Regions from separate parts of the Mus musculus genome. Here region 1 is reported to be linked to region 2. The links are microRNA targets in miRTarBase. Many come from high-throughput screens and were not tested one by one. Region 2 holds a microRNA gene; the other region holds the end of a gene's coding sequence.
What was found. The annotated mature microRNA mmu-miR-3964 reads AUAAGGUAGAAAGCACUAAA and lies in region 2 at 4,510-4,529, shown strand. An mRNA with a match to its seed (bases 2 to 7 or 8) in the 3' UTR can be bound and repressed. Matches are read on the target gene's strand: a 7mer-m8 pairs with bases 2 to 8, a 7mer-A1 pairs with bases 2 to 7 and ends in A, and an 8mer does both.

Region 1: the mRNA of Rerg is a reported target of mmu-miR-3964. Seed matches in the 3' UTR shown: 7mer-m8 at 5,077-5,083.

The regions. Positions count from the first base shown.
Region 1 is chr6:137,047,862-137,060,721 of GRCm38, reverse strand. Rerg (RAS-like, estrogen-regulated, growth-inhibitor) reads left to right here. Exons shown (of 5, transcript NM_001164212.1): 4 at 2,836-2,909; 5 at 4,182-5,897. The coding sequence ends at 4,589. Among named protein-coding and RNA genes, the nearest start is that of Gm52923, 58 kb to the left of the region's middle.
Region 2 is chr15:29,705,006-29,717,865 of GRCm38, reverse strand. It overlaps Mir3964 (microRNA 3964), which reads left to right and starts at 4,462; the gene lies at 4,462-4,535.

The DNA.
Region 1 (12,860 bases), not on the chromosome of region 2:
GCGTGGCTGCCTAGTATGTGTGAGGCCAACTGGGCTTCTCCTTGGGCCCAAAGACTCAAGAAGAAGAAAGGGGATCATTGAGGAGACACTTGGACGCAGTAGCTGCTGTGAATGGCGCTTCAGAGCATCGGGTCCCAGAAAGCCACACCCTGTCATTTAGCACAGAGGAGAGCGTGGTGCCGAACGTTCTTCAGATGAGAATCCTCATGTGTGGATCGTGAGTTGCAGCAGAGGGACAAGATGCAAAAACCATTTATTCACGTATGCTGAGTGTAGTCTCACTTTAAAATGACAACTTTTCAGAAGAGGTGTGAGCCGTGCAGGTTGCTGTGGTGACTGGTCACGGTAATAATGTCACCTAGATGGCTAAGTCCTGCCCACTGCAAGCTTCCTTTCTGGCTTTTGTGCCTTGGATAGACAACTGCAAGAAAATAGGGCAGTGGTCTCCAAAGGCTGCAAAGTTCTGGAAGGGAGGAAGAAAGGAAGGAAGGGAGGGAGGGAGGGAGGGAGGGAGGGAGGGAGGGAGGGAGGAAGGAAGGAAGGAAGGAAGGAAGGAAGGAAGGAAGGAAGGAAGGAAGGAAGGAAGGAAGGAAGGAAGGTCAGTTGGTAATTTGTTGGGATGGTTGGTCAGTTGGTCAGTTGAGAAGGTAGAGAGGTGTGCTGAAGAGTGGACAAATATAAGCGCTGGTCCCCAAGAGAGGCAACTCCAGGCTTGTTTGCTTAGATGCTTCAGTGACTGGTACACAGAAATACCCAGTTAGTAATTGTGTTAGATGGCCTGCTGTCTGTCCAGCCTCCTCAAATATCGCACAAGCCTATAGTTTTCTTCATCTTCTGTTTTCTCCTTGTTGCTTTTGTGCCACCTGCTAGCAGGGTTGGCACGTGACCTGCTTCTTGATGCCTCATCTGCGAGTGCCCTCCTTGAATCATTTCTTGTTTGTTCTGGTTTCCCTCTCTTAGAATTGAGTGCTTTGCTCACTGTTTCTAGTCCCCACCCTTTTGTTACGGAAATGTTTGTTAGTTCATCTCACCTTTGGTGTTTGTCTCCACTTCACCCTGAAGGGACACAAGAGAATCATCTAGAATTGCATTGTTGGATTGCTTCTAATACAGGCCCACTGATATGTTTGTGCCACCAACATCCTGACTCCTATATCTCTAATAAAGAAGCCCACCATTAACTGAGCCATGTTCTTTCATGGGAGTGTACTTTGTTTTTCTCTTAATTACCCTCTTTTTTTGGTCATCAATATCTCTAAAATTCACTGTAATGAGTACATTCCTCTTGATCATTTTTCTCTTAAGACTCTTGTCCCCAGAAATTCTTAGATATCACAACCTCAGCTGTCTCCATAGCCCTATAGATTTTATTTTCTCTCCTGAGGCTCATTTCATAAAGAATAAGATTCATAGATCTGTTATCTATATTTCTTATGAAAGTTTCAAACCATACTTTCCTTCTTATGAGCTACTGACATGTTCTGAGGAAATCCCTCAGAACATGTCAGTAGCTCATAAGCTGGTGCCTGTCACCAGCTCAGTCTGTCTCTCTTGGCTCCTTTGTCTGTGTTTAAACTTTCATATACGGCCCCACCAGCTGACTCCGCTTTGATTTCCTGTTCCACTTATATGGTGAGAGTCATATTCATGACTTCCCAGGCATCTTATACCTGCCATCTTCTTATCCCTTCAGGGTTTGGGGACCTCTCCACTGTGGACCCAGCAATGGCAGCTGCAACAGGGCAACTGCTATTGTCTACTTTGACCAGACATCATGATGGAGGGATCTTATTATCCCATCCCACACATCTGCTCAGACCCTTTATATTTTGGGCTACCATTCTTCACCATCTGCCAAATGCAAGCTCAGCCGCCTGCCTCTTACCACCTCAAGTAGTTTCATATCCTGTGCTCAGCCTGTTATAGTCTCGGGGTCTTGGTCAAGTTTGGGATTTGTTGTTGTAGTTGTTGTTTTGTAAGTTTGAGGAAATAAAAGTCAGGAAAAGCTTGAGTGTAGCAGGTAGCAGTGGGAAATCAGCCAGGGAAGAATGGCCATTATTAGAGGTGATGAAACATAGGAAATACAGCAGGAGTAGAGAATGATTGCCTACAAAGCAGAGGTGGGGTTTCCTCCCATCATTTAGGGTTGGTTAGTTTAAACAAGGATAGGATGCCAATTGCCCCACAGCTCTTATGTGAGCATGTCCTGATCCAACCTGTCCCGTCAGACCCATCAGACCCATCAGCCGACTGCAGTGCCCTAGGCTTCTGCCTCAGGTCAGGAGGGAGATGAAGAAGCCAGCCATCTTGGAGAGGAAGAAGCCAGCCATCTTGGAAGTTTACCAGCTTTATCCATCTGTCTAAGTCCCAGCCTCTCCACCCTGACCATGCCCCTCTGGTGCTAAGGATCTTTACACTGTTAAAGTTAGGAAGAGACACAAAAGACTATTATGTCAAAAAAATTACTTATTGGAATATCTAGGTAGAAATATATTTTGCATGGAAAATGCCTCTTTCGTCTTATAATGCAAAAGCCTCATCTAATTTAAATGGAAAAGAGCACTAGGGGTCTGGCCTCACAGAACAAGATACAGCCCGAGGAAAGGATAGAGGAGCAAGCAGGCAGCCTGCTGGAGGTCGGGCTCTCAGAAAGCTCTGTAGAATGAGATGCTGTTCCTTTGTCCATCTATCCTTCCATCCTCTCTTCCCTGGACAGCTCCCTGCCCCGCCCGGCCCCACTCCTCCCCGCATTGCTACAAAGGCAGGAATCCTGTGCCTAATATCTCACTTCAAGGATCAAATTCAATCTCTCATGTCCCTTTCTCATTCTTTTAGAATCAACCTACCGACACCAGGCAACCATAGACGATGAAGTTGTTTCTATGGAGATCCTGGACACCGCTGGCCAGGTGAGTAGGAATTCAGCCAAGTGTTTACTGCATCCAATAGAAAAAGAGATAAGTAAAACAAACACCGCTATTGAAAGGAACCACTAATGTCCTCATGTGCAAGTCGAATCTCTGAGACAGCCTTGGCCTGTGTTCCAGTTCTCTTTGACCACCACTTACAGGCATGTGTGTGTGTGTGTGTGTGTGTGTGTGTGTGTGTGTGTGTTGCATGTCACATTATGTGGAGACGGTCCCTACAATACTTGCCTGCAAATTTCCTTTGACATTAGTCAGATCATGTCTTATAAAAACAGTAGAGATGACCAGGGGAGTGATGGTTATATGGGCCAGGCATTTCCATGGTGCTATAACAATGACTGGTGGCCTTCAAAGGGAGACTTGAGTTAAAGTGTTTCATCAAAGAACTGCTCCTGAAATTAATTATAACTCATCTCTCCCTCCTTCTGCATGGCCTTCACACAGTACTGAGCACGCCAAGAGAGGCAGAAGCCTCTGGAAGACAATTGAACCTAAGGAAACAATACTTTATTCTCTGTCCTCTCCTCTCCTCTCCTCTCCTCTCCTCTCCTCTCCTCTCCTCTCCTCTCCTCTCCTCTTCTTCTTCCTCCTCTTCCTCCTCCTCTTCTTTCTTCTTTTCCTCCTCCTCCTCTTTCTTTTCTTCTTCTTCTTCTTTTTCTCTTTCTTCTTCCCCTCTACCCCTCACACTTCCTGTCTCTCTTCTCACACACAGTGTCTCTTCATCTCACTACTAGTAGCCCAGGCTAGCCTTGAACATGACCTCTTCTTACCTCTGCCTTCTAAGTACAGGGAACTCAGGTGCATCCAGACCCAGCCAGAGACACCTTCAGACTGTGTGTTCTTCTCTCGTGGAGGAGAAGCCACTGCTCTGACAGTCACCGCAGGAGAACTTTCCTTATCACTACTGATCTATAACACAGATTAGAATATTGGAATGGGGGGTGGATGGGTGGGTGCGGGGTCCTAGTCCTCAAGCTTAAACAGTAGATTCTATATAGCTTATTACTTCTTTTTCTGTTCCTAGGGTTATCAATGGTCTATAAACTGAACAAGAAGGTTATTAAGACAAATGGGGGTGAGCTGTACTTACCTTCTAAACTAATGAAGGAAATACGTTCATCCAGGAAGACAGCCAAGATGTTTAATAACAAACGGATATGAAGCGATGCAATTAAGGGATTAGTAGGCAATAACATTGTGCACTTTGGGATGAGGCCCAGGTCTCCTGATTGCAGCTCTTTTCTTTGCCCACAGGAAGACACCATCCAGAGGGAAGGGCACATGCGCTGGGGAGAAGGCTTCGTGTTGGTTTACGACATCACCGATCGAGGGAGCTTCGAAGAAGTGCTGCCGCTGAAGAACATCTTAGATGAAGTCAAAAAACCCAAAAACGTGACTCTCATCTTGGTCGGAAACAAAGCCGACTTGGACCACTCCAGACAAGTGAGCACAGAAGAAGGGGAGAAGCTGGCGACGGAACTGGCGTGTGCGTTTTACGAATGTTCCGCCTGCACGGGAGAAGGGAACATCACGGAGGTGTTCTATGAGCTCTGTCGAGAGGTGCGTCGCAGAAGGATGGTGCAGGGCAAGACAAGGCGCCGCAGCTCCACCACACACGTCAAGCAAGCGATTAACAAGATGCTCACCAAAATCAGTAGTTAGAGGTCTTGCCGAAATGTGCTGGAACGTGGGAAGGCCTTCCTGGCTCTCCTGCTGCCCCTCTAGCCACAGCCAAGATGTCCTTCTCCTTATTCTGAGTTTGGGGGATGTCAGGGTTTCTCGTGGGTCCCTCTCCACTATATGCTGGGAAATTCTCTGAGTATCTTCTGCAGCCCCATGCTGTGACAGTCTCTCCCTTCCCTGCTTGCCGTAGGATCCGTGCAAATGTAGTTTGAAGATGCAACCACCAAAGATGCTGAAGTGGCTGGGTTCGTGGAGGCTAATTGTAGGCATCTCTGCCTTGATTTAACAAGTTGAAGTCTTTTCAAAGGCATTTTAAGATTCTGAATCTTGTGGAAGACTACAAAGGTCACCATAAGGTTTTGTGATGTCTGGTGTGAACTTGAGGAAGGTAGCTGAGCGATTAGAGCCGGGGAACAGAATTCTAGTTCCCATTTGAAGTGAGGATTTTTTTAATTGTTATTATTATTACCTTACTTAAATTATGCCATTTTTCTTTAACATTTTATTTTATTTTTAGATTGAAATGTTATTACTGACTTTGTGATGGAATTGCCCATTTCAATTAAAATTGATTCTCTCAATAATCTACAGCGGTCCTTACATACCCTATTCTATTATTTCCTTAATAACAAAAGAAACAAGACCCGCAATTCACACCGTGCTGTGGCTTTGCTTCCCCAAGCCTTGGTGATAAGAAAAACAAACCCACTAGGAATCTTTGTGCCCACTCCTGACCTCACTGCATGTTAGTAGAGGATTGCAATTAGAGACACCTGGTTTGTATATTACTCTATTAGCACCGTAGTGGGAAGCTAACCCTCTTGAGAAAATTATGGCGCTTAGTTATTTCTCTTTGGAAGCAAAGGCAGAATCCTATGCATTCAGAAAGAGCCAGCCGCTGATTCAGTAAGTTGGCCACATGCCTTGTTAACCTTCTAACCTTTGGGTAAGATTAATTCACATGGGAGAATTCAGAAAAATAATGGGTGAGTAAAATTCACTCTACGTGAACGAGCGTGCACAAAGTAGATGCTTGGCTGGCAAAAGGATTATGTAACTGCCAAGAGTTTATGATCCTTCTCTTCATTTCCTGCCCCATATCCTGAGATTTGGCCACTTTATTTTAGAATAAAATATATATCTTTTATGATGTATTTATATGTATACATATAAGTATGTATAAAATTTGTAAGCAGCGAAGATTTTAATTCACCAATGTATTTGAACAATCTGGTGTAACTGACTTCGTTTTATGTGATTATAATAAAAAATATAATTTTCAAATTCTGTTGGAATTCTTTTGTGAATAGTTTGTGAGCTTCGGGGAGGCATGGGAAGCAATTGGATTGCAGAAAGGAAGGCCAAGGAGCTTGGTTTGGAAAGAAATAGCTCCTGCTAATAATAGTAGATGCCGCTTTTAGAATACTCAGGCTCTTTATTCCTTTTCTCCACTAATTGTTACAATTATTCTAAGACAGTAGTGCTGAGATCACTGTGTAGAAGTAAAATTGACCCAAGTGGGAAAGGAAGTGATGTCACCAAGTCTACATGGTGGGTTAGAGGGTAGAGCCAGAACTTTAACTGAGAGTCAGAGTCGAACTTTGCAGCCCACACGACCAACTTGCTAGACAGCTTCTAGCCTGGATTTCAGGGGTAAAGGCAGAGGATGAGCCAGACAGCTCTTAGCTTGGATTGCAGGGGTGAAGTCACAGGATGAGCCAGACAGCTCTTAGCCTGGATTGCAGGGATGAAGATACAAGATGAAGTGGTTAAGAAAAAACTTGCCTTCTTTATTCCCTTGTTAATTCATCCCCTGTAAATATGTCTAAATATGCTGAATATGCAATTTTATATAGCCCATTTGACGATTTAAGAAATTCATTAGAACAGTCTAGGAGAGGGTGGAAATCTTCTAAGTTGTAGAAACAGCATGGAATGAAAATATGAAGACCTGAAAGGTGGTGATGAATGCAGAACCCTGGAGGAGATCCAAGGGCCACGTGTATCATTTCTAGAGGAAGAAGGGTGTGGGGAAGTTGAAGGAAAGAATTCAAGGTGCACAGGGGGCAGAAAGCAAGCCAAAAGTCACAAACTCCTATTCCAGCAAGAACGTCTGCTAAGGAGGAAAGCGAGGCACTGCAGTGGTGATGTCCATTAGGCAGTCGATCGATCGAAGGGGAACACACAAGGGACGCTGCTGTTTGCAATCTGTCGCCTTCTAGAGCCAGTCCTTGAGTATCTCTACTAGGAAATGTATCTCAGCCAGTCCCTGCTAGAAACAAATTCCTAAGGTGGTGAAAACCCGAATGTCCTTTTTGAATAAACATTGAGAGATGACCCAGCGGTTAGGAGCCTTTGCTGCTCTTGCTGCTCTGGGTGTTTCCTCAGCACCCTCGTGAAGGTTCCCAAGTGCCCGCAATTCCAGTTCCAATGGACCCAGCTCCCTCTTCTGGCCTCCAAGGGCATTACACATATGTGTACACATGCATACACCCAGGCCAGCACTCAACACATAAACAAAACTAAACTAAGGAAGTCAAATGTGCAACCAGTACAGTAACCAGGCTAGACCATGCAAAAGTAAAAACCCCATCTTTTGATTAATGAACATGCAAGTATACTGCTATAACTCAGTTACCGCTCTCATAACCCAAGCTTCTACACAAATAAAGATTGCAAACAAACTAATACTATCAGTTGTTTGACAGGCTCGCTTCATTTTGATGAATGCTAGCGATGCAATATTTATTTAATAAATTAAGGATGGGGTCCTTTCTCCCACATCAAACGCATGCCGTTCATGTAGGCGCAACGCAGTGGCAAGAGCCCTGTTTATTCTCACGTATCACAGTACTAGAAATAACTTCTTCCAAATGATAGAGTAGATCCTGAGAGCTCATTGAGATAAAAATCAGAATTTGAGGAGGCCAAGTTCATCAGAATCTGTGGCTAAGCAGTGACAGGCATGGTTCAGGCTGAAACAGGGGCAGAGAAGGGCTTCACTGGTCACTTTCCTACACCAGGACCAACTTAAGGGAAGAGGGAACACAAGGGAGGGCGTATGGTGTGAAGAATTCAGGTCATAATGGCAGGAATGGGACCGGACCTTGTTCACATCTGGATCTCAGCTTTATGGGAGGACATTGCTTACATTCAAAAAGTGGGTCTTCCCCAGTAAGCCTTTCTTAATCTCTGGGGATTCTGGAATTGGTCTCCAGGCCACACTCAAAGACGTGCCTGACTAATACAATCAAGTCAACGATGAAAACTACCCAGAACAAGAGTTACAGATCCATGAACATTGGGAGGAGCATATACAGGACTAAGGACAGTTTGTGTTCGCATCAGCCACAACGAAATATCTTCATAGTGTACAAATGATACAGGGGAGCTTGGGGAACCAGGGAAGGAGGAGAACTTTGCCTTAGGTGTGAGACTAAATTCGTATTATTACTTATAGCCACTCTAATAGTACCTTAAAAAGTTGAACACTGAATCCAGGAAACTTGGTTTTTGTTCTAGAAAAGTATATCCAACATCCTATTACAAAAGTATACAAGCAAGATTTGACAAGATTGGAAACCAAGATGGTTCATAGATGATCTAAAATCTGTATGCAAAGAGACAAGAAATAGGATTAAGGACTGGCAAATAGAAACAGAGTGGGAGATGCTATCATTATCAAACAAGGAAGTTGGGACAGCTTTACAGACTTGCTCCATGGAGGTAGGAAGGTAAGGAGAGGTCTGAGCATCACAGGAGCAGATAAAAACAGTCAGTGTGAGTGGAAGGTGGTTTCTCCTGAAAAAGATAACATACTGAGCTTGATTATCATCAAATCGGGTGTTGGAAAACCCTAATCAGAGAGATGGCACAGCAACTGGAATGACGGAAATGAAACAATGAGGAAGAAAGTGACCGTAGACTCTATTAGCAGAGTAACATGTGATACGACTGAACTCTCAGAAGCAGAGATTACTATTGGTGGGGCAAGGACTAGTAGTAGGCTGGAGAGATGGCTCAATGGTTAAGAGCACTGGATGCTCTGCCAGAGGACCCAGGATTGATTCCCAGCAACCACATGGTATCTCACAACTCTCTATAACTAGTTGCATGGAATCCCACATCCTCAGTGGTACCCAGATATAAATGCAGGCAGAACACCCTGCCTGCATAAAATACATGTAACCAACAAAACAATTTAACTAAGCCAGGCAATGGTGGCCTGCACCTTTAATCCCAGCACTCAGGAGGCAGAGGCAGGTAGATCTATATAAGTGTGAAGCCAGCCTGGTCTACAGAGTGAGTTCCAGGACAGCCAAGGCTACACAGAGAAACCCTCTCTCAAAAACAAACAAACAAAAAACCCAAAATCACACAACAACAACAAAATCAATCAGTAATAATTGAGAAAATCATTACTGAAAGGAAAATCCAAATTGTAAACTTTCAGATCTAAAAAACTCAAAAAACTCCAGCAATAAAATATTTGAAGATACTAGTAACATAATCGTTAAAATCAAGTTGATGAAAGACAGTGATAAGGAAAAAAATGTAAAAGATGCGGAGGGAGCCGAGATACTCATTACCTACAGAGAAACAAGGGTGGGACCGGGAAGCAGCCACCTATTCTGCACGACCGGAGGACATTGGAGTGACATTTTACTTCAATTATTAGAAGGAAAAATGGCTTAGAATGCAAGGTACAGTATTTTTTCATCACTGCCTGGGTTCCAGGGGCAAACCAAGCTTAAGAGGACCACAGACACCCAAAGGCCCTGGGCCCCACTAAGATGAGTAAGGAGAAGAATGATGGGGGGCGGGGAAGAGATGCAAGAGGATGTGTGCACAGTGAAGAGAGGCGGGACTGGAGACTCCAGGGTAGCTGGAACGGCCTGATGTGAGTAGGTGGCAGTGCCAACCCAAGGCCATTCATTGTGAGGCCCTGGCCCGTGCTGCCTCCAAGGGCTATGTCTGGGTCCTTGTCCCTACAGCAAAGGTCATGTGGATACCCCTCGTCTGGGCTGAGGTCATATTGATGTCTGAGCACTCGTAGAGCTGGCCCTCCCCCCATTGCCTGGGCATCTTGAGAGAGTTAGCTCCAAAGACATGATCCTGGAAGAGCTGGTTCTGTCTCTTATCTGTCAATGGTGTGGGCAAGGAAGAGATACCCTTTCCCCACTCTTCACACCTTCAAGGTGCTAATCTCACCCTGTTTATAAAATCCAGGGCCTCAACCCAGGGGAATGGTGCAGCCCTTAAATGATATGGGAAGCTAGGACGTCACATAGCAATTAAGAAGACCAAGACAATCCCTGAATATGTGCCCACAGGTCAACTTGATCTAGCCAAGCCATCATTGAGATTCTGTGAGCAGGTGGTGATTCCTGGTTGTAGCAAATTGAAAATTAAAACTAACCGTCACACCTCCCGTGCTCAGATCTGGGAGGCACAGTGGCAGCTCTTACTCAGAGAGGGCTCTAGATTGGGCATTTGCTGTGAGGCCAGCTGGATGAGACAGACTCCTTGACGTCTGCTTGAAACAAAGAGTCCAAGGCTCCAGATTTTCAGTTTACAGCTTTTTCTGATCTTAAGAAAGTATCCATATTTTATGCTAAGATAATAACTTTACTTAAATCCCGTTCACTGAAAATAACTTTGGTTATTCTATGACAGAGTTGTGTGTGTGTGTGTGTGTGTGTGTGTGTGTGTGTGTGTGTGTGTGTGTGTGTGTGTGTTGTATACATGTGTGTTATGAGAACACTCACTCATGTATGCTAGTTTGGAAGCCAGAAGTTGATGGCGGATATCTTCTATTAAATCCACTTTTTTTTTTTTTTTAAAGACAGGATTTCTCACTGTGATGGTTTGCATATGGTTGGCCCAGGGAGTGCCACTGTAGGGAGGTGTGGCCCTGTTGGAGTAGTGTAGCCTTGTAGGTGTGGCCTTTAAGACCCCCATCCTAGCTGCCTGGGAGCCAGTATTCTGCTAGCAGCCTTCAGATGAAGATGTAGAACTCTCAGCTCTTCCTGCACCATGCCTGCCTGGATGCTGCCATGTTCCTGTCTTGATGACAATGGACTGAACCTCTGACCCTGTAAGCCAGTCCCAAATAATATTGTCTTTATAAGAGTTGTCTTGGTCATGGTGTCTGTTCACAGCAGTAAAACCCTAAGACACTCACAAATGTGGAGCTCTTCATTTTAGTTGCAGCAGCTGGCCAGTGGGCCCCTGGAATCCTCTGGTCTCCATTCCCAATGCTGGTGTCCCACAGGCTGTGACAGTTTGGATGAGGATGCCCCCCACAGGCTCATATGTGTGAATGTCTGGTCCTCAGTTATCGGAACTGTTTGGGAAGGACTGGGAGGTGTGCTCTAGGTAGAGTATGAGTGAGTGGCTTTAATGGGGAAGGTGTGACACTGTGGTGGGATTGGGGTTTCAAAAGCCCAGCAGGGCCCAGTCTCCCTCTCACTCTGCCTGCAATTTACCAATCAGACGTGAGCTCTCAGCTACTCCTCCAACACTGTGGCTGCCTGCCTTCCACCATGCTTCACACTACAATGATGATGGGTTAAGCCTCTGGATCTGTAGCAAGGCCCCAACTAAATGCTTCCTTTTCTGAGTTGTCTTGGTCATGGTGTCTCTTCATGGCAATAGAACAACAACTAAGACAGACCCCTGCGCCCACCTTTTTTTTTGCCACATGAGTACTAGAAAGCCTAACTCTGGTTCTTACACTGGGACAGAGACCATTTTACACACCTAGCCATCTCCTCAATCCTGAGAAAGATTTGGAAGGGTAAAGGTTGTCACTGTAAGCTAGTGAAATTCTTGATGAGACCCATGTGGTGTTCCTCCACAAGAGCCTGTAACATGGTCATAAAAACTTTCATCTTGTCGTTATCTCATCTTCCCGGAGTTTGAGGAGCCAAGGGATTATTGCAAGAAGCAAGTTTTACATGGAGACAAATATAGACTGCTGACTGAATCTATTCCCCGAGCTTCAAAGTCAAACTATGTGCCAGTGACATCCAACTTAAAATTTATGCTCAGAACGTTTGCTGGTAAATTAGCTTTTCGGAATGCTGAATACAATTTCCCTGGAAAACAATACTGTAAATCTCATCTATGTTCCCCCAGTGAGTCTGCCGCGGCATACTTAAGTTATATAGAGCACACTGCTTTTCCTCGGGGTACATATCAGCATCTCAAAAAGATTAAAAATACTTCCAGCATCCCCTCATCTATCCTTCAGTTTCATGCTGACACAATTAGGTCTCCCTTCCTTGAACTCTCTACTGAAAACCTTCATTTGGGAGATGCTTCAGATTGGAAATCTTTGATGACCATGGTTGCTATGTTAAACACAGCTGACTGGTACTATTTCAAATAGCATCGGCAATTAGAGAAAAATATAAGAGATTTATTTATTTATTTATTTATTTATCTTGGAGAAAAGATGCCTAGCTACACAAGGCAAGTGCATCATGATGTAAAACAGACCAAAGGGCCTCACTCATTGCCCAATTCACCAGCATCCTTCAAAGGTCACTTTCTGGGGCTATGTACTGCTACAAAGTAACATTTAAAGAAGCACGGAGAACTCCTGCTCTCAGGAGCCTGAATCAGTCAGGTCTCTGTGAGTTCGAGGCCAGCTGGAACAGCATGATGCGTTTCATACCATCTAGGGCTACATAGAGAGACCCTGCAACCTCCAGAAATTCCCAGTCTCCACATCACGCTGTCATAAGAGAGGTGGGATTACAAGTGTGCAATATCCCACCCAACTTTACATAGGTTCTGTGGATTCAAATTCGGAGTCTTATGCTCACTGCCAGTAATTCCTGTACTGAACCATCCGCCTGGCCTCAGTATTTTTTATGTGTAAGAAGGACAAGATAAAGAGTTATCTCAGCACTAGGAGTACTCGCTGCTCTTATAGAGCACTGGTGGTCAATTCCCAGTATCCATTATAAGCTCACAACTGTCTGTAACTCCACCTCCAAGAGGCTCAGCGTCTTCTTTTCAAAGACTCTCTGACATAGCTTGGATATGGTTTGAGCGGAGCTTAGGTCCCATGGTGGCAATATTGAGAGGTGGTGGCCCTTTAAGAGGAGACATCCAGTGGAAAGTCTTTAGCTTTTCAGGGAATGCACCTGAGTGATTTCATGCATATCTGAGAGAACCCTAATTTCATTCAATGAGCTGTTGGAAAGGTCCCTTGCCTCTACATCTCTTTTCCTGTCTTCC
Region 2 (12,860 bases):
ACACACAGAGAGAGAGAGAGACACACACAAACACACACACACACACACACACACACACAGCGATAGAATTTGTGGGTAGTGGGTAGTATGTAGGCAGACCTATCACCAAGGTGATTGGTTTATAAGGAATTTGATAACTCAGACAGGTATTAATACTGACATTAGATTTCTCCAAGATAGTTTTTCCAATTAAAAAAGAAGGAACATGTCTAAAAGTTGCTAAAGACTCTTAATTATAGTTGTTGTTTACACCATTAGCCTTCAAGTATAAATGATGATCGGGTCCCTTGTATCATGTTTTTCAAATTGAAAAGCATATTTGACAGTGAATGACTAATGTGGAAATACAATTTCATGACTAATTAAAAATGTCACACACTTTCTTATAGAGAACTAAAGGGAGCTAATTATATGTATACATAAATTATGAGAATTATTAAACATGAAAATGCTACTTTTTGTTTTATGTTTTTTTTTTCTTGACTGGATTAAACAAAGAGACTCAAATTTACCCTCAAAGCACCTTGCCACTGACATACAAACACAACCCCTATTTTTTCATGTATGTCATGATTGTGTTATGTTTTCCAAGGTACTTTACAATCCCCCTCCTCAAATAATTGTACTACCCAAGTCTCCCAAGTAGATAGGACCATGGGGCATGTCCACAGTTTTTGGCTAAAGTAATAATTTTGACCTAAGGAAAGAGTAAATGATTTATGAATGCAAATATATATATACATTTTTATTCAGGGAGCTCTTCACTAAACAGTACTGAAATTTAAATATCTGTTTTTTAAATTAATTAATTTATTTCCATTCTAAATTCTGTGTATACCCTTACCACAGTGCATCAAGTCTCTGCTGGGCTAGGTGCATCCTCTCCCACAGGGGCAAGACAAGGTAGCCCTATGTGCCAGGGCCTCAGTCTAGCCCTGTGTGTTCTTTGTTTGGTGGGTTAGTCTCTGAGACCTGCCAAGAGTCCAGATTAGTTGATTCTGTCAGTCTTCCTGTGGAGTTCCTATGCCTTTCGGTACCTTCAATTCTTTTCCAAACTCTTCCATAACAGTCCTTGACCTCTGTCCAATGTTTGGCTGTGGGTATCTGCATTTGTTTCAGCAAGCTCCTGGGTAGAGTTTCCCAGAGGATTTTTATGTTAGGCTACTGCCATGTGAGCATAAAAGACAGTCACATTAGCATCATTAGGAGTGTCAGGGATTGTTGCTTGTCCATGGGAAGGGTCTCAAGTTGGGCTGGTTATTGGCTGGCTATTTCTTCAGTCTCTGCTCCAGCTTTGTCCCTGGATTTCTTTTAGACAGGACAAATTTTGGATCTAAAGTTTTGTGGGTGGATTGGTGTCCCACTAGGGTCCTGCCTAGCTACAGGAGGTGGCCTCTTCTATTTTCATGTCCCCACTGTTAGGCATCTCGGCTAAGGCCACCCAAATTGACTCCTGGGAGCCTTCCTCATCCCAGATCTCTGGTACTTCCTAGAGATTTCCTCCACCTCTTCACTTCCTTCATTCTCCTGTCCTTCTGACTCTCTCTTCTGTCTCTCCCCACACCTGATCCTAACCTCATTTTCTCTATTGATTTCTTTATTTGATGTTTGAGGGACATCTAGGTTGTATCCAGGTTATAGTTATTACAAATAAAGTTGCTATGAACATAGTGGAGCATGTGCCCTTTTAGTATGGTAGAAGAGCTTTTGGATATATGCCCAGGAGCAGTATGCTAGGTCTTCTGGTAGAGCTATGTCCAATTTTCTAAGAAACTGCCAGACTGATTTCTACAGTGGTTGGACACGTTTGCAACCCCACCAGCAAAGATCTATTTTATTTTAAATATTCTCACAGCTTTAAAACAATTCCTCCACTAATCAACACTACATTTTATCACAACCAAGTAGCTACTAATTAATGATGTGGTATAATCTTACCTCATTTTCACTAGTGATAGAGAAGACAGAACAAGTAAACAGTGTCATGGTTGACATGCTCTGGACTCTGCATCAGCCTGAGCTCACAGTTCTTACTGTGTGCAGAGATAGAAACACTTTGACTCCTCTGGGAAAATGCCTGTAATTGAAATTCAGAAATCATGTAATGTTAACTATCTATTTCAGTATGTATGCCACCTATGATGTGGTCATACTCTGATTTATATAATAACCAGGTTTGACCAGAGTTTGTGCTGAAGCAAAAATCCCTGTGTATCTGTGCCCTGTGTATGTTTTGTTCTTTTGTCCCAATAAGACAGTTTTGTAATGGAAAACTACAAAATTTTCAAAGCTTCATTATTGTTATCATCAACATTGCTTCAGCATCAGGGTCATGAGCAACCATACTGGTTTCATCACCTTCTGTCCCTGTGGCAAGACACTATGGCCAAGGCAACTTACAGAAGAAAGAAGTTATTTGAGGATTCACGTTTCAAAGTTTATGACCATCATGGCAAGGAGCATGGGAGCAGGCAAGCAGGCTTGGCATTGGGCCAATAACAGAGAGCTATTTATTGATTCTTTGTGAGTTTCGCATTATGCATCCCAGTCCTACTCATCACCCATCTTCTAATATTTGCCTTTTGGCCTTACAAACTTCCCTCCTGAACACACACATAAATACACACACACACACACACACACACACACACACACACACACGCACACGCACACGCACACGCACATGCACATACACACAAACACACACACACACACACACACACACACACACACACACACACACACACATGCACACACAAGCAACAACAACAAAACTGCATAGAAAATATCCCATCATGGAAGCTGTAATAGACCACAGTGTGTTCCACAGTATATCCCTCTGTCCACACATCTGCACTTGCAAATGTTCATTGCAATGAGTCATTGGTTTGGTATGGGTTCTCTGGCTTCTCTGACATCATCAACATTGGATCTACCTCAGGACTACTCGCAGTTATTCTGTAGTTGTCTTGTGTCACAGAGATCATACAGCTTTGGATCAGCAGGATTTGTCCTTTCATGTCTTCCAACAATTCTCAAATGACATAGTTTTGGGGGTGTGCTAACTGAGAGCCCTGGATCCAGGTCTGGATGTTTGCTGAGTTGGTCAGTGCACAGGCTCTCCCTTAACTACACATTACCAGGGCAAGCTCGTCAGCACTGCTCTCATCTGGCTTTCCAATGTCTACATCTGCAGCATCAGAATTTCCTCCCATTTTTTCCTTTTATTGAATATTTTCTTTATTTACATTTCAAATGTTATCCCCTTTCCAGGTCTCCCCTCCAGAATCCCCTCCCATCTCCCCCTGCCTCTGTGAGGGTGCTCCTCCACCCATCCAGCCACTCCTGCCTTCCAGCCCTGGCATTCCCCTACACTGGAGCATTGAACCCCCTTAGGCCAAGGGCCGTTCCTCCCACTGATGTTCAACAAGGCCATCCGCTGAAACATATGCAGCTGGAGCCATGGGTCCCACCATGTGTACTGTTTGGTGGTCCAATCCGTGGGAGCTCCCGGGGTCTGGCTGGTTGACACTACTGTTCCTCCCATGGAGCTGCAAACCCCCTCAGCTCCTTCAATCCCTTCTCCAACTCCTCCATCATGGGCCCTGCACTCAGTCCAATGGTTGGCTGCAAACATACGCCTCTGTATTTGTCTGGTTCTTGGCAGAGCCTTTCAGGAGACAGCCATATCAGGCTTCAGTCAGCAAACACTTCCTGGCATCTGAAATAGCATCCAAGTTTGGTGACTGTATTTGGGATGGATCCCCCAGGTGAGACAGTCTCTGGATGGCCTTTCCTTCAGTCTCTGCTCCACACTTTGTCTACATATTTCCCCCTGTGAGTATTTTGTTCCCCCTTCTAAGAAGGACCAAAGCATCCACAATTTGGCCTTCCTTCTTCTTGAGCTTTATATGGTCTGTGAATTGTATCTTGGATATTCTGAGTTTTTGGGTTAATGTCCACTTATCAGTGAGTACACACAATGTGTGTTATTTTTTACCTCACTCAGGATATTTTCAAGTTCCATCCATTTGCCTGCAAATTTCATGAAGTCATTGTTTTTAATAAGTGAGTAATATTCCATTCCTCTCTTGGTCTCATGGTCTCACACCCACACCTCCAAAACCACCTTCACAGTCAAGGTGCAGCACTCACTCTCCCAAGTCCTGCAGCCTGTGAGGGGCCAGCTCCAATGTGTTGCCCAGGGAAGGTACAGAGCCTGCTCTTCCACATGCTACAGTTGGTGAGGGATTAGGGTGAAGTCTTAGGCTCTCATGCCCTTAGGCCAACTCCCCTGACTACTACAGGTGGCAAAAGGTGGGACTGGAGGGCATCACCCAACACCCACACCACTACTTGCAAGCAGGAGCATGGCAGTGCCAGATCTCTGGTGCCCTGGTGTGGCTTACGCAATTGCCTTCCAAAAGGGCCAGCTCTAATGTGCTCCTTGGGTGAAGTGCAGGGCCTGCTTTCCAAGTTATGTAGCTAGCAAGGAGAACTCACAGCTTCATAAGGTAGAAAGCACTAAATGGGCCTTGAAACTTCTGAAGTCTCAAAGCCACCCCAATGGTATAGTTCCTCCAACAAGGTCATACCTTCTAATCTTTCCCAACTAGTTTCACCAAATGGGGATGTTATATATGAACTTATGGTTGCCATAATTGTTCAAATGACTATAAATACTAAAGAAGGCTGCATCATTTTTTTTCTTGTGAAACATTGCTGTCCTAAGATCTGTGTTTCACAGATTGTAGTTGTAATTTTAACATCTGTGAACAATGCATATTTTAGGATACACATCTACTTTAACATCTAAAAAATACTTAAGATACTTTTCCCTTTATAGATTTTAGACACACACAACACATTTCATTTTATTTTAAATTGAGTGTAGTCATATGAGAGATCACATAGTGTCTAAAAATGCTAGCCAGTTCACTACTTCTGAGGAACACCCGTGATATGACTGTTATTACATAAAGATAACCCATTGCACACATCATATGGATAATAATCAAAACTTTATCACAAAGAAAGTATGATGAAATCATTTTTAATCTATATAATTAATTTTAAATTTAAGTCAAAGAAGGGAACATGGAAAGCATGAAATTCTTATATTGATATTAATCAATGGTATTACTGGGAAATTTATTTAGAAATTTAATGTTTTGATCTATACAGAATCACTATTTTGGAGAATAAATAAAAAAGCCTTTAAACTGTGAGCTAGATTATATATCATATATTTTAAGTGCATATATCCATGTATACTAATTTATTATATACAAGTAATATATACATTTATGTGTATATATGAACATATATATTTATACATATATATGTAATGTTATATGTGTATGAAACCCAACTAGATGACTACAAAGTAAGTAAATACTATTTCTTAACTGGAATTGTAGAGCTAGAACAATGACTGGAACACTGTTTTAAAAGATGGAATTATACAATGGACAGAGGCTCTTGAGTTATTATTTTTATAAATGATGGATTTCTCAATGTGTGTGCATGAGTATGTATGTTTGCTAGTAGTAAGAAATCTTATGAAGTGAATTATTAATGGTAAAATTCCTGTGCGGCTCACTCTACTGTTCAGTGACTTCATGACATACTCTTTAAAATTATCCTAATTGGTAACACGTTTATTGTGTAAACCAATGGGATACATTCTAGTTTTTAATCCATGCACACATTATTTACTCATGCTGCCTCTCTTCTTCTGTCTTTAGCACACCCACTTATCAGCTCCTTTTTCATCCCTTAAAGGTCCCTTGTCCCTTCTTCCTGCAACTTCTGCAACCCTTCTCCAAATCTAGTCACCTGTATCCACTCCATACTTGCAGTAAGTTAATTCATTGCCTTCCATAAATGAGATAGAACACATGGTACATGTCTTTCTGTGTTTGGCCTGTTTCTATTAACACAGTTCTTCCCAGCCATTAATATTGTTGAAAATGACAGTTTTAATCATGCTCTGACTGAGTCATAGTCTATCATGTTAACATGCAGCTTTCTCAATAATTCATTTGATAAAGACATCTTGATTGAGGTCACATTTTGGTTATCTTTAATATTTTTGTAATAAGCATTATAGTGCAAGTGCCATTTTGGCCACAAACAGAATTGCTTTAAGAGAAACTTTCTCTAACTATTTTGGTCCTGATCCTTGTATGCTCTGTTTGTCTTTCCCTGATGTTCCTAGCTACCCACAGAGACTGGTGAATACAGGTGCTAAATTTATACTGTCAATACATCACAGAAAATGTGAAGAATAAAAAAAACACCCTTCTATAAAGCAGATCATTCTGATTTCTTTTCACATCTTCAGAGTACATTTAGAATGTGAAGTATCACTTGAGTATCAAAAAATTAAATATAAAAAAATTCTTGGAAGTGGAACCACACGATTTTGTGGTGTTTTGAAATTTGAAAAGCATATATACTACCTTTTAATTTTCAGTAAATAAAATAATACTGAGTACACAGCTGTACAAATCTGTGAAAAATACTTTTGTGGAATAGTGTTGCCACATGATCCTACACAGTATATAAATAGTTATTTACTTTAAAATTAACATTTATCATTATCACATAAAATGAGTATAAGTGCCCATAAAATATTCTTAAACTTAACATGTATCAATAAATACACAAAATGGTGTTTAATTTTTTCATTTTTTATGAATATTCATGACAGATCACTTTATTGTGCAGGCACTTAAATGTTTATGGGAATATTTTTAACTTTGTCATTTTGTGGAACTAACTACAAAAGGGCTGGAGTGGGCTTGCATTAAGTTCCCATGTCACAGCAGCTATCTTGTTGTTCATGACTCCATGATTAACACACAAAAGATATATTTTATAAAGTATTTGTGCATTCATAAGATTTATTATCAGTTATGTATAAGTATGCACACCATGTAACATTCCAATTATCTCCATTTCTCCTTTCATATCTTCACATTAATCTAACTGTGCTTGTCTCCTTTTGATCAAATTTTCTGATTTTAAAAGACATCAGTTATATCAGAATCCCTTTGATGATCTCACATTCCTTTTATTTGTTTATTTATTTTTATTTATTTTTCCATGTGTATCTAGGGCAATGTGGGTTTGTACACATAAATGTGGGATCCAGAGAACAACCTCAGATGTCTCCTTCAAGGATATCATCCAGTTTACTTTTGAGTAAACTCTAGTGGGCTTAGGAATAACTGATTTGATGATTCTACATGGTGAACACATCACATAAATCCTTCTGCCTACATCTTCCTGGCCTTGAATTGGAAATCTGTGCTGCCTGGCTATTTTACATGAATTTTGAGGTGGAACTTGGATCTTCATCTTTGTGCCTCAAGTGCTTTTCTGATTGATTCATCACTGTTATCCACGATCCTGCCTTAAGTTTATTACTTTTGGAAATTTTATTTCCCACTAAGAAAACGTCAAGGAATCTGGGTATCAGCACTTAACATATCCTTTGGCCACAGCACATTCAAACCTTAGTAATATGCTATTTAAAAATGGCCAAGAGATAAAAATAAGTACTAGTAAAACAACTGTGGAATTGATTAATTCTATTTAAAAGTGTTAATACAGACTTGATTTTCCTATATTACTCAAGTTTGCAGTGAGCTAACAAATAACAAAAAGTCTTATCATTAAGTTCTGGAGGGAAACCAAGAGCAAAGACCCTGCTTGCATGTTACTGGAGAATACTATGCGTGATACTTGGGGAAAAAGACCACAAAACAATTTTACTCTGGTGCCAACTATTCTAGCTAAAATAACTTTTTAAAAGATGTGCACATTAGTGCTATAGTGGTACTAATGTTGTAGATTCAACCAAACACTTTTTGATTGAGTTTAAATTCACTCTATGAGAATGAATTAATGATTGGTACTGTTACTAAGCCAAAATCCAATAGTTACATAGGTTTTTGGCTTCAGAGGAGAACCTAGTATGATTATCCCAATAATTTGATTAGTATTTAATTGTCCCTTGACATCTTATCTTTGTATTCACAGATTAATCAATATCTAATCATTCATTATAGAATGTTTTTTATTCTATAGATGACAATTAATGAGACCCATAACAAGTTAACATGCAAAACCCAAGACTGGAGTGCTAAGCTACAAATAGAAAAGCTATATTTCAGCCCTTACCCTCAGTGTCAGATGAATGGGGGAAAGAAAATTTAATAGCCAGAAGTTGTTCAAATTTATGGCAATACAAAATTTGTTGAACATAAAAGGGTCATTACAAACCTGAACCCATAGTTTCTATGAAAACAGGCCCACCCATCTCTAAGCAGCTATTGGTAAATGGTGGCTATCATGTGGGAAGACTCAATTCTTTTTTCATGTATGTGTACCATGTGTACCTACATCTCAGAAGTTGTTCCACATCTATGCAAATTCAGGCAGTGTTTAATGGATTCAATTCGAAAAACAAAACAAAACATCCCCATACCCTAAGGGAATATGAAAAAATGAGAGGAAAGTGTTGGTGGGTGTATAGGAGTGGGAAATGGAAAGTAGAGAACCGGGTTGGGGGTGGATTTAATCAAAATTCACTATATAAGTGTAAAATTCTCAAACACTAAAATCTTGGAATGATTAGAAAAAATAAAAAGGAAAACAAAACAAAACAATACCCACCACAACTAGAGGTTTTCTAGAGATTTCTTGGTGAAATATTTTTACACACTATGTATGACTGGTTTTCTTGTATACATAGTTATTCTGATTCTTCATTCAAAGCCCATCACATACAAAGCACACCAAAGGGAGTTGTGGACATGAATGTTGTGCTTGCATCCAGATGATCTGAAGATCTATGATTTCTGACAATAACATATTGGAGTATTGATTCTAAAGATGACAGTATGAGCATTCAGAGCATTAGACGGCTTTTAAGCTGTTGACAAAACCATTGTGAATGGACTAATGATTTAAGGAAGGCCCCCGTTGGCTGGAGATATAGCTCAGCTAAAGTAGGGTGAGTTAAATCCTTAGAAAATCTCTAGTAAATCTCTCTCTCTCTCTCTCTCTCTCTCTCTCTCTCTCTCTCTCTCTCTCTCTCTCTCATATGCACACACGCGCCATCTTAGAGAGACTCCTTGAGTTTGCTGCCATGTAACACTACAGCAAAGGGACCTGATTTATAATGATGTAATTTGTAAACCAAGAAGAGGGTACAAGGCTTCACTGTGTGGAGAGAAAACTTGTAGGGGCCAGGGTGGTGTAATCTTGCACTTACTCTACCACTTGCAGAAGAAGCTGAGATGTATAGGAAGTATAATGAAGCTCCAAGTTGTGGATCAAAAAGACAAAAATACCTTCCAATAAATGGAAGTCTAAAGAAAGAATACAGTTCAAAACGCTAATAAGACATAGCTACACTCAGCCACATGTGTGCCCACTGGCAATGAATAGAGGAATAAAATAAAAGCAAAAGAATAGAGCCTTACTTATTATCTGAAGAGGCATTAACTGCAACCAACATGGTAATTAACTGATAAGTGACTGTATAGGATCGATTTTAGAGAATTAAAATGAATGTTTTAAGAAACAACAGAAATGGTTTCGTTTACAAAAAGAACAGTACTTTAAAACAAAAACAAATAAACATGTTGAAACTTGAAACATGGCTGACAATAAACTGAGAATGGAAACATCAGGTAAAGACAGATGAGAGCTGTGAGATTCAGGATCCTAGGTAAGAGAAGCGGGTGGAGTCAGTATAAGAAAAGAGGGTGGAGCCAGTGGGACATTCCGTAGATCGTTCAAATGTGGGGCAGCTAAGCAAGTTATTAAATACACTGAGGCTTTAGTTTGCAACTGCATGTTGTAAATTATAGTTATAAGAGATTATTCTGTCTAAAAATAAGATGCAAATATATGGCACAGAATTCTCTAAGAATGAAAAGTTGCAATAAGTACATAATTCTAACTATATAGTTATTATTAACTTATTAACACCATAAAATGAATAAATATAAGACAAAAATAAAGGAAAATTGAGATTTTCTGAGTTTCTTTCTTTACTTATGATACAGATTCTGCTTTTTCTTAGATTTTATTATGCAGAGGGCTTTAAATGTAAGATGAAAATAAATAAATCTTGTCCAAAGCAAGAAAGGAAAGTAGAGTAGAGGTAGCTAGAGAGATGGGTCAACAGTTAAGAATATTTTCTGCTTTAGCCAAAGGCCTAGGTTCTGTTCCCAGAACCCACACAGTGCCTCACAACTGCCTGTAACTCGAGTTTCAGTGGCCCATCTTCTTCCTTTGGCATCTGCTGGCATTGCGTATCAATGTTATACATACCTCCAGGCAAACACTCATACATGCAAAGTAAAAATAAATCCTTAATAAACAAGAAAATAGTTAAACAGTAAATGGAGTTTATAACTAAAAACGTCTAGCAGCAACTTGCATCCAATAGGAAGCAAGTGAAAAAAAAAATAAGGACAATTATGTATCACACACAATTCCCCCAAAATGGAAAGAAATGATGACAGAATTAAATGACCTGAAGTTTAAAGATCTTACAATAGCTCCTCTGGTTATACAGAATAAACAAATAAGGCCACATGACCCTAATGTCTGTTGCTTTTAAGACAATCTCAAATGCTCAGTTTTACCAATAGTCTTGTGAACCAGAGGCTGGGGTGAAAGCCTGCTAGCTTAGTGAGGCAGGGAAAGCATCCAGCTGACCTTTCTCAACCAGTCTCCCAAAGGGAAAGGGAAGCACTTCTTCAGCAATCTCAAAATCTTTTCAAACTAAGTGTCCCTTACTTCTACTTCCTTTGTGTCTCTCTATCCATCTTCCTGACCCCCTCTTTCTGTTTTTTTTCCTATGTTCATTCCTTGTCAACTGGTTTCTTGTTCTGCCTCTTGACCTATGGTTGACTTTATTTAACCCTGTTTCCAAAAACCAGAAAGCTCTTAGATTGAAGGCATGGGCTAGGGCTGAGCCACAGCACAACTAGAAGCAGGTTTTTCCAGGAAATAATATAATCTCAGGGTTCACAGTGTAATCAAATATTGTACAACAAGTTTATATGAAATTACAAGCCACAAACACAGCCCAGGTTGAAGGAAGGCATCCGAAGTGGTCACATTTCTGCTGAATGCTGAAGGGTGTGAGGTCATGGAGAAGATGATGTCATAGGACACTGTGAGCCTCATGGAAGAATACTCCAGGGACAGTTCTTATGATGGTTTCTAACAAAGAGCAAGTACCCAGGCTTTCCTCTGTGTAACAGACAAACAAAGGGCTTTTATTTAAAGCCCTTGGAGAGCAATGCATTCAGAGGGCTGCTCAGTTGCACATAAGCTCTGCAGGTGCAAATATCCCAATGTTCTCAACATTATCTTCCAAGCTCTTACACAACATCCCACAGAGCTCTTAACACCAAATGGATCTTCTAGCCCAAAGTTCCAAAGTCCTTCCACAGTCCTCCCTAAAACATGGTCAGGTTGTTACAGGAATACTCCACTATGCTGGTACCAATTTGTCTTAGTCACGGTTTGTATTCCTGCACAAACATCATGACCAAGGAGCAAGTTGGGGAGGAAAGGGTTGATTCAGTTTACACTTCCACATCGCTGTACATCTCCAAAGGAGGTCAGAACTGGAACTCAAGCAGATCAGGCAGGATACAGGAGGTGATGCAGAGAGCATGAAGGGATGTTTCTTACTGGCTTGCTACACCTGGCTTGCTCAGCTTGCTCTTTTATGGTGCTCAAGGATGCCACCATCCATAAGGGGCCCTTCTCCCTTGATCACTAATTGAGAAAATGCCATATAGCTGGATCTCCAGAAGGCATTTCCTCACCTGAAGGTCCTTTCTCTGTGATAACTCCAGCTTGTTTCAAGTTGACACAAAACCAGCTAGTAGAGTAGTCTTGTAGATCATCAAGGAAGGAATCCATTCCAGGGTGTAAATACAAACAAACAAACAAACAAGCAAACAAACAAACAAAACACAATGAAAAAGGATTGGAAATCTGGACACAGGTCAGACGATGAAGTGTTACATAAGCTGCATACACAAACACACCGATAAAATGACTATGTTCCCCATGGTCTCCTAAAGTCTAGACGAAGTTTAAGGTATGCATTATGCTGCATGGAAATAGGGCAGGGGTAACTAAAGAGAAACTTCTCAGGTGGTCCCTTCCCTTACCCATCTAGAGGAATGATGTTTAGCACATGGTAGAAAATTTAGAGAAGAAATTAAAGCAACACATTTGCCAGTGGATTGAAAATCTTGTCAAGACATGGATAAAGTCGATGCTGGGAAGGATAAGGCAACCATTTTGGCTGTTTCAGGTGCAACTTTGTCAGTGTTTTCTATTTGTTGCCCCATTCTGCCTGATAATCATGTGACCTCAGGAATACTTGCATATAAAATATGTATATACATTTTAGTGATAATAAATCATCAATAAATTTATTTTTAAGTGGGTACATAGTAAAGTTAATAAGTGGTAAGTTATAAATGTAAACATACCACTCATTAACGCTAAAAATGAAATTTGCCTAAGAATATTTAGTGCAGTATGGGAAGACAATGGCAGCTGGACACCTGAGCTCTTACAACTGTGTTCAAAATTATGTCATAATGGGATCCAAAGTCATGGAATGATTGCAACAATCAAAGCCAGCAATGGAAGTAATGTGCTTAGCCTCATATCTGCCTCAGTGACTGTCCAAAGACTATTTTGATTCAGAAAATTTTAATTATTTAGTTATAAGCGATGGGAAGAAGGAACAAACGTGTATCTAACACAGAAACAGACATGTCCTGCCACCAAATAAAACCTTA